2 linked regions of the Oreochromis niloticus genome follow. The protein of the gene in region 2 purifies or fractionates together with the protein of the main gene of each other region. This does not show direct contact. Links are inferred from orthologs where the notes say so. Each region holds a gene or a part of one and is shown on either strand. Other genes may lie near its edges.

The links.
Region 1: the proteins of npm3 (region 2) and rpl6 purify together in Homo sapiens (affinity purification with mass spectrometry; 3 studies listed by BioGRID and IntAct, with this or other methods). This does not show direct contact. The link is inferred for Oreochromis niloticus from reciprocal best matches to the Homo sapiens genes NPM3 and RPL6.

The regions. Positions count from the first base shown.
Region 1 is NC_031977.2:25,905,363-25,912,650, forward strand, and holds the start of rpl6 (large ribosomal subunit protein eL6), read left to right. Parts: upstream 1-4,240; 5' UTR 4,241-4,255; intron 4,256-7,288.
Region 2 is NC_031978.2:18,872,777-18,880,388, reverse strand, and holds the start of npm3 (nucleoplasmin-3), read right to left. Parts: upstream 3,029-7,612; 5' UTR 2,905-3,028; coding exon 2,832-2,904; intron 2,640-2,831; coding exon 2,548-2,639; intron 2,466-2,547; coding exon 2,346-2,465; intron 2,272-2,345; coding exon 2,178-2,271; intron 304-2,177; coding exon 197-303; 3' UTR 1-196. Other genes in the region: oga (protein O-GlcNAcase), read right to left, coding at 6,785-6,921, 7,205-7,364, 7,461-7,612. UniProt on the Homo sapiens protein: Plays a role in the regulation of diverse cellular processes such as ribosome biogenesis, chromatin remodeling or protein chaperoning. Modulates the histone chaperone function and the RNA-binding activity of nucleolar phosphoprotein B23/NPM.

The sequences.
Region 1 (7,288 bases), on a different chromosome or scaffold from region 2:
TGCTAGCGCTGTCCTAGAGGGACAGTAAACATGACGAAACTATTCAGGAAAAAAACACGCGTATATATTGATTATCATGACTCTGGTTTTACGTGGCCTATTAGCACAATTTTTAAAAACTATCACCTTGTTGCTTTGTCATCTTAAAGTGGTCGTGTGATTGGCTTACCACGACTACTTTATTCTTCCTCAGTCAAACAGCAGCACTCATGCGATTGTTTTGCCCCCTAGCTCCAGGTGTTGCGCCAAAAAGTGATCATGATTGCCATCCGCGGGAGCGCGCGCAGCTGCTTAAAGCTGTAGCGCCCAGATTACTTACGTGCGGTAAGCTGAACACAGCTTCAACCGTCTGTTTGTTGACGGTTGCGACTGCACCGCATTTTCTTGTTAGTAACGGTAACGGCGTTGTAACGATAGAAATAGTAATTAGTTAGATTAATCGTTACTGAAAAAGTAACGCCGTTAGTAACACCGTTATTCCCATCACTGGCTACAACAGCATGTTTTGGACCCTATTTAGAGAAAAAATCAAATTAAGCGGACGCTTTATAAGTCACAGCAATGTCCCCGCTTTATCAGAACAGTTTGAACTTTTGCTATATTTGAGTTAAAGTGTGTTTTAAATCTGCATCATGGATTTGTGCCACGGCATTACTTCCTTATTGTCATAGTAGGCTATGCGGCAGGCAAGGGTAGGATCCAAACACAGGACTCAGAGGCGGGAGAAATAAACCAAAAGAGGCAGCTTTATTGCAATGATACAAAAATTAGCAATGAGCAGAGGGAGATTGAGGACTTAAATACACACAGGATAACGAAAGGATGGGTGACAGGTGGGAACACAGGAGGAACAAATCAGACATACAGGGAGTGCAGAATTATTAGGCAAATGAGTATTTTGTCCACATCATCCTCTTCATGCATGTTGTCTTACTCCAAGCTGTATAGGCTCGAAAGCCCACTACCAATTAAGCATATTAGATGATGTGCATCTCTGTAATGAGAAGGGGTGTGGTCTAATGACATCAACACCCTATATCGGGTGTGCATAATTATTAGGCAACTTCCTTTCCTTTGGCAAAATGGGTCAAAAGAAGGACTTGACAGGCTCAGAAAAGTCAAAAATAGTGAGATATCTTGCAGAGGGATGCAGCAGTGTTAAAATTGCAAAGCTTCTGAAGCGTGATCATCAAACAATCAAGCGTTTCATTCAAAATAGTCAACAGGGTCGCAAGAAGCGTGTGGAAAAACCAAGGCGCAAAATAACTGCCCATGAACTGAGAAAAGTCAAGTGTGCAGCTGCCAAGATGCCACTTGCCACCAGTTTGGCCATATTTCAGAGCTGCAACATCACTGGAGTGCCCAAAAGCACAAGGTGTGCAATACTCAGAGACATGGCCAAGGTAAGAAAGGCTGAAAGACGACCACCACTGAACAAGACACACAAGCTGAAACGTCAAGACTGGGCCAAGAAATATCTCAAGACTGATTTTTCTAAGGTTTTATGGACTGATGAAATGAGAGTGAGTCTTGATGGGCCAGATGGATGGGCCCGTGGCTGGATTGGTAAAGGGCAGAGAGCTCCAGTCCGACTCAGACGCCAGCAAGGTGGAGGTGGAGTACTGGTTTGGGCTGGTATCATCAAAGATGAGCTTGTGGGGCCTTTTCGGGTTGAGGATGGAGTCAAGCTCAACTCCCAGTCCTACTGCCAGTTTCTGGAAGACACCTTCTTCAAGCAGTGGTACAGGAAGAAGTCTCCATCCTTCAAGAAAAACATGATTTTCATGCAGGACAATGCTCCATCACACACGTCCAAGTACTCCACAGCGTGGCTGGCAAGAAAGGGTATAAAAGAAGAAAAACTAATGACATGGCCTCCTTGTTCACCTGATCTGAACCCCATTGAGAACCTGTGGTCCATCATCAAATGTGAGATTTACAAGGAGGGAAAACAGTACACCTCTCTGAACAGTGTCTGGGAGGCTGTGGTTGCTGCTGCACGCAATGTTGATGGTGAACAGATCAAAACACTGACAGAATCCATGGATGGCAGGCTTTTGAGTGTCCTTGCAAAGAAAGGTGGCTATATTGGTCGCTGATTTGTTTTTGTTTTGTTTTTGAATGTCAGAAATGTATATTTGTGAATGTGGAGATGTTATATTGGTTTCACTGGTAAAAATAAATAATTGAAATGGGTATATATTTGTTTTTTGTTAAGTTGCCTAATAATTATGCACAGTAATAGTCACCTGCACACACAGATATCCCCCTAAAATAGCTAAAACTAAAAACTACTTCCAAAAACATTCAGCTTTGATATTAATGGGTTTTTTGGGTTCATTGAGAACATGGTTGTTGTTCAATAATAAAATTATTCCTCAAAAATACAACTTGCCTAATAATTCTGCACTCCCTGTAATAAGACAGGGGAAGCAAAACTGAACATGCAGAACACAGGACGAGACACTGTTAAAATAAAACAGGAAACAAACTGAGATGTAGACTAAGACACACTGGCTTGACACTGGGGCCAGGCGAGAAACAGACATGGGGACGTGACTGACACTAAACAGACACAAAAGGACCACCAATCATTGAGATGAAAAAAACAAACAAACGTGAAAATAAGACTGACTAACCACAGGAGGAGACGAGACACTGAGAGAGAGAAACTTAAAAATCACAAGGAACTGAAGACTAATTCAAACATACTTAATAAAAGACTTAAAAATTATCATGAAACTTGAAAGAACAGAAAGTTTTAAATATTAAGTAACAAACTCCATAAACTAGAAAATGCTAGATCATAGTATGTTATAGTTTCTTGGAATTTACTGGTGCTTATTAATAGTTTGTTCAGAAAGACTAGCAGCACTACAGCTTAGAGTTTGAGATCTTGAAACACTGCTATTCTGCTGTAGTTGGTGCTGGAGTCCTGCTGCTAAAAACCAGTGTTAGAAGAATAATAAACCTAGGAACGTAATGCCATAACATCACTGTGGTACAATAAACCATTTCTCATCTGAGACTCTAACAAACATCTACCTTCTTTTTACTTTGTGTCAGATGGCAGAGGGAGACCAAGCTGCCAAGAAGAAGAAGCGAGGGAGCCAGAACCCGGTTCTGGCCCGGGGCATCGGTCGCTACTGCTGGTCTGCTCGCAGGGCTATATATAAGAAGAAGATCAAGACCGCTAAGACCAAGAGGCAGACCTGTGGTGCCATACAATTTTTTTAATATGGATCAAACACATGCCACTTTTTCTTTGCCACTTTTTTAGATGATAATTTGTTTTGCTCCAAGTGGAGAATAAGAGTAAGGCTAGACCGAAGGCTAATGTCATCAAGACTGTTGGAGGAGACAACAGTTCGGGAGGCCAGTCGCGTGGCCAGCAGTGGACACGATGGTGATCTGGAAGACGACGAAGCAGGCAAAGCAGGTCTAGGGGTCAACCATTACAGCGAAGACCAATGGGTGACAGCACCGGAAACGTCAGAACCCTTCAGGTGGCTTGGTTGGTGGCTTGCGGTGATTGGCAGGTGGCCTGCTGAGGCGTGGATTCATTGGTGGCTGGCAGCAATTGAGATGGAGACCCTCGGGAGACCCTTGGCAGGTGGAATCCACTCTGGTGTCGTGGCAGGCAGCGGCGTGGAGTCCATGGCAAGTACTGGCATGTAGTCTGTAGCATGCGGCAGAGAGAGACCAACAGGCTTGGTCCAAGAAGCAGAGGGCGGTGTGGCATCTGAGCATCCCACAATGCAATTAACATGCAACATGAACGCGACAACAAAGGTGGACGTCGAGGCAAGAATATACTTGTTGCTCTGTCTGTGCCTTTTCGTCAGAATCGGGGAACACGGCATTGTTTTTCGTAGCCATTTCCCCCTTTGCCGGGTTTCAGAAATGGCGGTGTTGATATTCATGAACAAAATGCTCTCATGAATACACTCATGAGTATCACAATTTAGGACCTTCTCAGATTGCTTGGAACTGTGGCCGAGGAGGTACTAAAAAAGTATCTGGTACCAGGTACTCTGACCAAATGGAAAACCCTGAAAACTGAGGCAAACCGAACCGAGTTGATCCGAGGAGGTATTTATAGAAAAGGGGCTATAGCAACAGAAAATCATTATTTGGACTACAAGTACCATCACACCTTAACGTAAACTTAACGTAACGACGTTGGGCAACACCCTTGGCCAGCGTCCTTATATACGTCACATGCCCGGATGTCGGTCTTTTTTTCATAGCAAAGGTAAGACAGCCGTGCCTTCGTGTTACTGTAGGAAAACAATCTGCTTTCATCCGTGTTAGAGAATAAAAAATATTCTCTCCAACTATCATGAGACGATTCTTTATGTTTAGGCTATACGGTAAACATCATTATTGCCACGATTTATTCGTCATGTTACTGTAGATATGTTTAGATGTGCAGGTTTAGGCCGCCAGCTAGCCTCCGTACAGCCTGTAACGTTAGCTAGGCTGGTGGTAGAAACGTGTTGTATTCCTTCAGTCCTCTTTGTTATTTACTTTTTTAATTCGCTGTCAGTGTTTGGGTACTTCATTAAACCATGGAAATTTTAAGAAATTAATTTCGTCTTAATGAAAATGAAGAGGAGAAATGTCTGGTTGGCCGGGAAAGTTGTATTAAGTTGCTAATGGCTAGCTAGCGATACTTGTCATGGTCAGGGTTGTCAACTTTAGCGAGTTTTCAGACCCCCTTAGCGACTTTTTTTTCTAAAGAGCGACTAGCAACAAATCTGGCGACTTTTGCTGGTGTTATTGGAGACTTATGATGACTTTTTGACATGAAAGCATGCATCGCTCTTACTCTCAACAAGCAGTGGGTGCTGCCGTGGGCACTGTTGCTACCCGGAAACACAATCGGTACCACGCATGTGCAAATCTTACGTCACTTCCTCTCTTTGCCAACATTGCGACAGTTAATGTATTTGAATGACACGGTTAGCACCCAGTTAGCTCCTAGCATTTCTCAACAGCTCTGCCTTCTTTTCGACTGCCTGGGACATTTAAACAATGGATAATCCGTATACAAACAAATTCATGCTTTTCTCCTCAACAGAGAGCGTCCCCTGATTGGACAAGGCTCTGAATTTGGACACCCCCGCTGTTTCCGGCCGGACAATAACAACGGTGACATTTAACTTATTTTATCCGATAAATAAACATTTTAAAATTCAAGTTTGTTGTATATATATGTATATGTATACCCCCCACACAACAGCCCTTTTGAATTTCTCCCTAATTCTGAGGTATCAAGGTTGGCAAGTATGCCTACGCGTCCAAACTGCAATAGCGCATGGGCGAAGCCGCTGCTCCCGCCCTAACTGAAACGCTGTCAGTTCTTCTTTTACAGTTACTTTTTGTGGAACACAAGGTTTAAAACTACTTAAAAACACAAACACACACACTAAAAGTAACTCCGCCAGAGTGCCTATTTCGGGTCACTTTTGCAGGTCCCAAGCCCAGTTAAAGGAGGAGGGTTGGAATTGTGACATAAAAAAAAAAAAAAATGCTAAAAGAAATTTAATTTGTAGTTTAAATATATTCTAAATGCGTTTAGTGTGTTTTTTTACTCACTTTATGTCTCTTCCACAATGTTATTTCTCTGGCCTACAGTGTTCGTTACAATTACATAAGCATGACCAATTATGCAAATTAGGCGATGACATCATTTAGCAACTTCTAGGGATTTTTAGGACAGCCAATAGCAATTTTCCTTATTGAGGAGTTGGCAACAGTGTTCATGCTTCTGCATTTGTGATGGCTCTTTGGTAGCAACCAGCCAAATCAGTTTCATAGTATTTTATAGTTTCTTAGTATTTACTGGTGCTTATTAATAATTCGTTCAGAAAGGCTAGCAGCAGTACAGCTTAGGGTTTGCGGTCTTAATACTCGCAGGTTACAATAGTTGAGACCAAGATGAGGGCAGACCTGTGTTACCACACAAATGACTTAATATTGATCAAAGACATGCCACTTTTTCTTCGCCACTTGGTTTGATGATAATTTGTTCTGCTTCAGGTGAAAAAGAAGAAAATTAATGGTAGACCAAACACCACTGACCACAAGAGTGTTGGAAGAGACAACTGTTCAGGAGGTTGGTCACGAGTCCACCGGCAGACACAACTGTGATCTGGAACCCAACAAAGAAGGCACAGCGGGTCTAGGGGTCGACCATTACAGAGAAGACCCATGGACGACAGGACCAGAGGCCAACGACGGGGCGAAGGCGGGACCTTTCAAGTGGCTTGGATTGTGGCAATTAGCAGGCGGCCGGCGGCGGGGTGGATTGGCAGGTTTTCTGCTGCAGTGTGGATTGGTTGGTGGCTGGCACCCTTTGGAGGATTGGCAGGGGGATTCCATGCTGGTGTCCGCGGCAGGTGGAGGCATGGAATCCGCGGCAGGTCTCGAGGTGTCTGCGGCAGGCAGCGGAGAGGGACCAACTGATTCGGAGTGGAGTCCACTGCAGGTGACTCTGGTGACACTCTTCTTTCTGGTGCAGTCTTATAAGGATATTAATGACAAGCCACACTGTTGAAGTAGCAATGCCTCTGTAAGCACACTGTAACATCATGACATCAACAATACTGGACATAAAACCTGTCTTCAGGTTTATGTCTGTCCTGTACTGTTGCCAGCAGACAAGTTAGGAAAATATAACATTTGAATACAGAGTCAGAAAAGAATATTAAAATATGCAATTATAACTAGTTTTAATATAGTTATTTTTTTGTGGTGCTCTGATGGAGAAGGGTTTAAACTCGCCTATGCTACATAAGCTCCTTTTCCATTAGAACCTATTTGGGCCGACTCGCCACTAGACTTGGATCAAATGATTTTCCATTACAGTGTAGTACCTCGAAATGTGCATGGTCTCCAGACGTAATTAATATGCGAGATGAATGCTACAACAAAGGTGGACGTCCAGTCAAGAATATACCTGCTGCTCTGTGTCTTTTCGTCAGACTCGGGGAACACGGGATTGGTTTTTTGTAGCTATTTCCCTCGTTGCTGGATTTCAAAAATGGCGGTGTTGATATTCGTGAACGAAACGATCTTATTAATCATTGAGTAACGCCTGTGACCCAGCCAATCAGTGGCATGCAGTCTGACAATGTCACAATTTATCACCCGCTCGGATGGCTTGGAACTTTGGCAGAACAGGTACTAAAAAATACCTGGTACCAGGTGCTATGACCTAATGGAAAACCCTGAAAACCGTGGCGAACCGTGCCGAGTCGATCCGAGGTATTTGTGGAAATGG
Region 2 (7,612 bases):
GTCGTGATTCCTCCGACTGCACCATTAGCTGCCACCACACACAGCGTTCATGCGGCCGGTGTGGAAGAAGTGGGAACTTTGCAAAATGTGTCCGTCTGGTACAAAAAAAGTGTTATTTCTTAAAATGCATCAGAGAGTGAGCTATTTCAGAAAAAAAAGAATAAGAAAAAAAAAAATCCATCAGTGAACTCGCCGCCTACTGCTTCTGCTTCTTCTTTGCTGGTTTGATAGCAGGCAGCTCTTCCTCTTCTTCCTCCTCCTCATCTTCATCCTCAGACACATCGGAGTTTTCGACCTGTGAGACTGAGAAGATCAGGAGAAAATGTCAGCTCACCGTGTTACACCGAATCCCGGTATCACCATCTAGACTGCGAGCGTGAGACTCAGCCCTTTAATGTTCTGTTATTTTGTTTCATATTGAAAGAACAAAAGATAAAGGATTCACCATTTTCTATCTTTTTAAGGGCCAGAAAGGTCGCTTTATTGAACGCGCCCTCACGGTTGACCCTCACGCACACACTAACTCGAACCAGCAGAAGGAATAAAGTTGTAAGATGTAAGTGGCACATTTCTGTTACTAAGTTTTATTGCCCAGAGATATATTTAACCTTTTGTCTACCAGGGTGAGGGAGCACCAAGGTTACTCCAGGTGTTTCACTACAGAGGACATTCATGACATTCACCTGTATTGAGGATTAAATGAGTTTGGATCCTGATGCCGCCGCTTTAGACTGTAGTTACTCAAAAGCTGTGAGGTACAAAAGATCTTTTTCAAAATAGTATATGTGTTAAGCAATTAAGCCGAAGGCAACTGAGCTTGATTTTCAGGTTCACGTAAAAGTGTCAGGACCGCCTCCAAGGTGATAACCCCAGTGGAGGTTAAATACCTGGGATTCCCAATCAGCTTGTAGAACTGAAGAAGGCTCTTGTATGAGAGAGGAAACATCTCGGGGGTAGGGGGACTTAATTTGAGTAAACGTTCTTTTAAAAGTACGATGAATAAGCTGGAGCTAAAGATCTTCATTAGGTTGTTTGTTTTGGCAGAAATTCCCCAAAATAAAAAACCATCCTGAAAGGCTGCTGATGTTCTTATAAAGGTGATAGTGGTGACTGTCTGACCAAACAGGAATTTCAGGGGAATGAAAGCTGGCAGACCTGATGAGGGCAAAATATGGCCTACAGTCCAGCTCAGACCTTAACGTTTTACCCCTTGAAAGCCTACTAGGAGTAACCCCTGAATCTGTTATCTATCATGCCTGCTTATAAAACAAAATGAACGGGTTTGCATCAGAAGTTAGTGAGGGTCGTCTCTGATTATGCAGCTACACTTGGAAAAACCCGGAAACTACTGTTACAGTCCTCAAATGACGATAGCGATACATACTGAGAGGTCAAAACTCTTTGTGAAAGTTACGGAGGAGTTGGTTAAACGTCATCTTCATGGGGGAAAGAGTTTAAGGCAAACTGAACAAGCCCTGCCTCCCACCAAATAAATAAAAGAAATAAAAATGAGAACCCATATTTACGGATGTTGTTCGGCACTGCTTTCACTTGTGTGCAAATCATTTTTCCCCTGTTATTAATTACAACGCCTTCACTTAAACACTTAAAAAAATATAGAAAATTAAAAGCTGATACAGCATTTAAGCAGACTATTTTATCCAAACTTTCTAGTAGAAAGCTCTTGATTTTTTAAACAAGGACCTTATTCTTACATATTATGCCTACCAAAATTCATGTAGTTTAGAATAATTCAGGGTTAGGGGCGACATATTGGAACGTTTGAATGTCTGGGTCTTTGTTTTATTTTATCCACGTCACACTGCGAAAAACTGTTGCCCATCCCTAATATAGACCAATAGGTCAAACACTCAACTGCAGCCAAGCATTACTCTAATTAACTTCCTTAAATGTCAAGCAGAGGAATTCAATTTTTTATAATCAGCTACAAATAAAAATACAAAATTCCAGCTGTATGTTTATTTGGGTCAGCCAACTCAGTTTGAAAAGAGTACCTGCATTAAATTGGATCAGTTCCTATTATTCACTGATTACTATCATTTTGATATAAATACAATGAAGGGGCTGAAAACTGATGAGATATTGTCAGTGAGCTTCTTAGAATATCAGTACTGGCAGTGTTAAAGTGTTAAAGCACAAAGAAAGTAGAATATTACCAATAAGGTGTAGCCCACTGACAGAAACTGGCCCTGTGCCGGCCTTGAGTCGGATGGTGACTGGGGCTTTCAGCTCAAACTCTCCCAGACTCACCTGAGGACACAAAGCATCAAAGTTAAGACAGATCAAACTTCAGCTGTGCAGCACATCAGCCTCAGTTTACACACCATGGGGAGACACTTGATGTGAAGGTTGGCAATGGGCACCGAGATCGTCTTTCCTTGGTGGTTCATGGCTGTCACCTCCACCACATTGCTCTCCTCCTTGGCACCGTTACCTAAGCAAACCTGCAGCAATCACAACACAACATCTGTCTGGTGTGTTCGTGCCGCTGATAAATCCCAATGATGGTAACAAAACTGTGCATACTGTTCTGAGTTCAAGGAAGTGCTCCAGGTCCTCCTCCTCCTCCTCATCTCCTTGGAAAGTGTAGAAAGGTACTTTGGAGGACAGCTCGCAATCTGGAATAACAGTAAGACCAGCAATTAAATGACAGCGGTTTTTATTAACAAAAACCCCCAAAACAAAACAATCCAAAATCAAACCCCCAGTAAAAAAAAAAGGGAGTGAGAAATTTCTGTAGGAACATCACAGCAGAAACCCACGTGTGCGCCTACAGAGCATCTCTGACAGACTGTTTAACAGGCCCTTACTGAACAGGAAGCTCTCCAGCCTGGATTGACCGCTCAGTCCGGCGTCCGAGGATTCATCGTCTTGGAAAGACATTTTGCAGAAACGGTAAAAGTTAAGTATTCTGCTGGCGCTTTCCTCTCTAATGAGCTCTCCACGATAAATAACAAGCACGTCGCAGCCTACACGCGTACCTGATACGTCATCAGTGCGCGCCCGTGGCTCGGCAATTCCCTCCTTTCACAGAAATCAGGCGCTGACTGGGTAAAAGACGTGATGAACTTCTCATTTACCTGAGCTGATTCAGAGCGGTGGCTAATAAACTTAAAAACTATTGAACTTAATGTAAAATAAAGTGAAATATAGAATATTATAATAAGGTAAACAATACCATCTGCTAATGCTAATAATATCTGCTTAAACTTAGTCCCTTAGAGCTGTTTTCGTGACATAGATTCAACCAGGGGGAAACCTTCCTCAGAGATTTTGGTCCATATTGACATGAAAAGCACCACACAGTTGCTGCACATCCATGATGGGAATCTCATGTTCCATCACATCCCAGAGGTGCTCTGTTGTTGAAATCTGGTGACTGTGGAGGCCATTTGAGTGCAGTGAACTAAGTGTCATGTTCAAGATACCAGTTTGAGATGATTTGAGCTTTGTGAGTGTTATCCTGTTGGAAACAGACATCAAAAATGGACACACTGTGGTCTTAAAGGATGGACATGGTCAGCAACAATACTCAGACTGTGGTGTTTAAATGATGCTCAGTTGGTACTAAGGGGCCCAAAGTACGCAGAGAAAACCCCCTCACACCATTACACCACCAGGAGCCTGAGTATTTGATACAAGGCAGGAATGAGCTCGTGCTTTCAGCTTGTTAATGCCAAATTCTGATCATACCATTACAAATGTTGCAGCAAAAATCCAGAAAGTTTTTTCCAGTTTTGGCAATCCCATGTGACTTGCAGCCTTGGGTTCCTGTCCTTACTTGACATGAGTGGCACCCCAGCACGGTCTTCTGCTGCTATAAGCCATCTGCTTCAGTGTTCAGAGATGCTCTTGTGCACACATTGGTTGTAAATCAGTGGTTATGGTCGTTTTCATATCAGTTCAAAAGCAGTCTGGCCATTTTCCTCTGACCTCAACGAATCATTTCTACCTAAAAAACGGCTACTCACCGATTTAAAAAACAAAACAAAAAACACTTTCTATAAATCCTTGAAATTACTGCAGGAAAAATCCCAGTAGATCACCAGCTTCTGAATACTCAGCCTGTATGGCATCACAGATTCCACATTTAAAGTCAGTTAAAATCATCTTTTAGCTCCATTCTGATGCTTGGTTTGATCTTCAGTAGGTAGCATGAAAGTAGATATTTGCCTTAATGACTAGTTGAACAGGTGTACCTAACCACTGGCTGCTGATTATTACATAATTGTTTGCAATAAAGATTCTTTTAACAAGGATATTAAACCAAAGGTCACTTCTGACCCATCTGAACAGGTCAGTATTCCTTTATTGTAAACACATTACTTTTCTTTTACTTGTAAAAACCTTACATGAAATCTTTCACTACAGACAGGTATTAAAAAAAAAAAAAAAAAAAAATCTAAATAAATAGTGGCACACAGGACACAAAGCAACAGTCACTTATCGTTTATTAGTTTTTCCATTTTATATATTTTACATACAAACTTTACAATGGAAAACTGTCACTTTAATGACCCCCCCCACCCCTTAACTGAAAATCTACAACTGGAGCCCTCTCTCTTTCACAGCCAAATATTAATCAAACCTAGTTGGCAGAGGAGAAAGCTCAAGCATCAGCAAACTGCAAAATGAACCATTTAAGACAAGTGTGAAAATTATACCGCTGTTTCAGCAGACAGAGAGCAGATCCTGTGGGTGAGTTTCACACCTGGCTGACAGGTAAGACGGCTGTACAGGATGAGGGATTAACTAAACCAGCGTTAGTTTGCTGGCAGCAGTTTCAATAAAGAAAACAAAATAACACTTTATGATCGACAGAGTTTACAGACTGTCCGAGAACAACAGTATTATACTCATAGGGCTGAGTGGCATGCTTCTTCCTCTATGTAGCATCAGATGAGGTTATTTTTTTCCTAGCATCTGCCACAAGAAATCCATTACAACTCATGCACATTATGAATGCACAGTTTCAAAACATCACATTGGCAGGCAGCTACTGAGTAACAACCACAGATCCTCAGTTAACTGGTTAAACACTCCTATAAGTGAAAGTGCTTTTTTAAAAGAACAAACAAACAAACAAAAAAAAAAAATTCATAAAAGCAAATTATAGCTTTGACTTAAAAACACATTCAATGAAGAGCTTGTGAGGAGGGGGGGGGTAAATAAATTTCTGCTCCAAACCCTGTCAACTGAACTAAACAGTGTGGAAACCATTGCCATTTTCACATTTGGTGAAAACATTCAACAACCTCAGTGATCCCAAGAGCACCTCGCTGAAGCGCAGCTGAGAATACATTTACTGGTATGCAACGCTGAAACAAAGCATTAAGGGATGACACAAGTGAATTTGCCAGTCAGGTCTGGTGAAATGAACAATTTCATATCAGTGGAAGAAAAGAAGATTTCAGATTCTTCATCATTTCAAGCAAAAGAAAAACCAACAACAACTACAACCCCCCCCCAAAAAACAAAAACACAAAGCAACACAAAAAGCCTAACACATTTTGGTCCCGTGGTGTACTACTCTCAGGAAGTGTTGATTTAAACATTCGTGCTTTCAAACAGGAACGAAACAAACTGTGGTAAACTTGACATTTTAACTACGCAAAGTTAGGAAAGACAAACATTTCAACAATATTAGATAAATGTAGAATTTAACAACTAAAAATGGTACAATATCGGCTTTTTAGTCAGCTTAGGTTTACTGAAGGGTTTTTGTGCTTGCGTTATGGATCTGGTAGAGCAAAAACCAAGACGCGTTACTGTGAGTGTGAGGCTACATCTCTGGAATTTGAAAAACAACGAGGCCAACGTGCCATCTCTAGCCGTGTGTGAAATTATAAAGCTAAAATAATAAGGCAAGGAACAAAAAGGCAATGGCTGAAAAACATGTTAATGAACACATGAAAGCTTTAATTGCTTTCCAAATGTCTACTACTAGAACGGTAATTCAAAAGGACCTCCTCTTTGACGTTTTCTTTGTTGGCCTGTGGCAACATTTAATTCAGGGCTTGGCAAAACCTTAAAAAGCTACAACTGTTCACCCTTTGTGTACACACACAGTGCTTCACATCAATTTTGTCAGAAACACACTACCTAAAAGGCAGCCATCTCCAAGTATTTGGAGCGACCGAAAATACCATGATGTGCAAACGAAAGGCAAACTCTCAAACAGCACTTCACATCCTGCATAAAGATGTTCCACCTAAGCCAACGACTATACCATTTCTCCATGTCACATCTGGGAAAGCAGGATGTGGCGGTAGTTACGACATTAGATGCGGGCTACCCTCATTTCACAGCTCAGCCTTCACTTCAGATACAGACGCTGATTTCAGGCATGCGGGTAAAATTCATGTAATGGCCACTGGATATAACAAAAAAAAAAGAAAAAAAAAAAAAAAAAAAAAAGGAGGTGGGTGGGTTAAGAAGGGCTCAAGGAGTCATCTCTTCCTTCCTCTTTCCTTCCTTCCTCCTAGGAAGGAATAGTGGGATCAGAGAAGGAGTCCCACTTGTGTGTTACTGACTGAAAGAGATTACAGATCACTCCTTGGCCTTTGACGTGCTGAATCCAGTAGAGCCAAAACATCTAAGGGGGGCACAGGCATCCGCTGTGCTTCCACACAAATCCTAAAAAGAGCCCAGATTGGTAACGTGGTATAAAAATCACCATGAAAGTGTTTTTCTCATGAAGGTAGCAAACACATTTAAACTATGTCAACTCGCTCTTTGTCCGTTATTGTCGCAGGATGTTTCTTCAAAGGCTACGGCCCATGATGATGATGTCTTTAGGAAAGCCCTCCATTTTGGCCACTTCAAAGCATCCCAGCTTACTATAGAAGTCCAACATTCGCTTATCAGTCTGTCGAACCTTACAGAACGCGCCGCGGGATCCTGAGAGAGAAAGGAGACAGGTAAGAGAACCAAACTTCACTACCCTTGGTTTGTTTACATTAAATATAAAAGGGGTAAGGAAGCCTTTATGATAAAAATGGAAAGTCATGTAGGCTTCTAATCTTGTCGTTTTTGGACTTTGGCCCCATGCACACATTACATCTAGATAAGTGAACCTTTGTTTTCCACTTTACTAAAACTTGAAAAATAAACTTAATGAATCAATACTTCTACGGAGTGGTTATGAGGCAGGAGGCTAAAGACACGGTTGGCTGCTACCTACCGTTGGCCTTAAGAGAAGATAACAGACAGCCCATCATGCTTTTGGCCACACTGGGGTCAGTGACTTTGGCGTGAATGTCAACCTTGATGAGAGAGGGAAAGTTGGAGAGGAAAGAGTCCGGCAGACCCTCCTCCTCTTCATGGAAAGTCAGTATCATCTTCTACAATAATGAAAGAGTGCTTTAGTAATCTTAACAAAAGGACGCACAATCATGACGCTCAATATTATGATAGAAAGAAATGGATTATAAGCATACCTCAGCCTCTGTGAGGTCCTTATCACAGTCAGGTTTGTGGTATTTCTCTTGCATGAAGGGAATCCAGCTCAACTTGCATTTCTTGATAAAGGGTTTAACATCTACGGTGCCGAGAGCATAACCACAGATCCCTTCATCATCCTCCAACACAA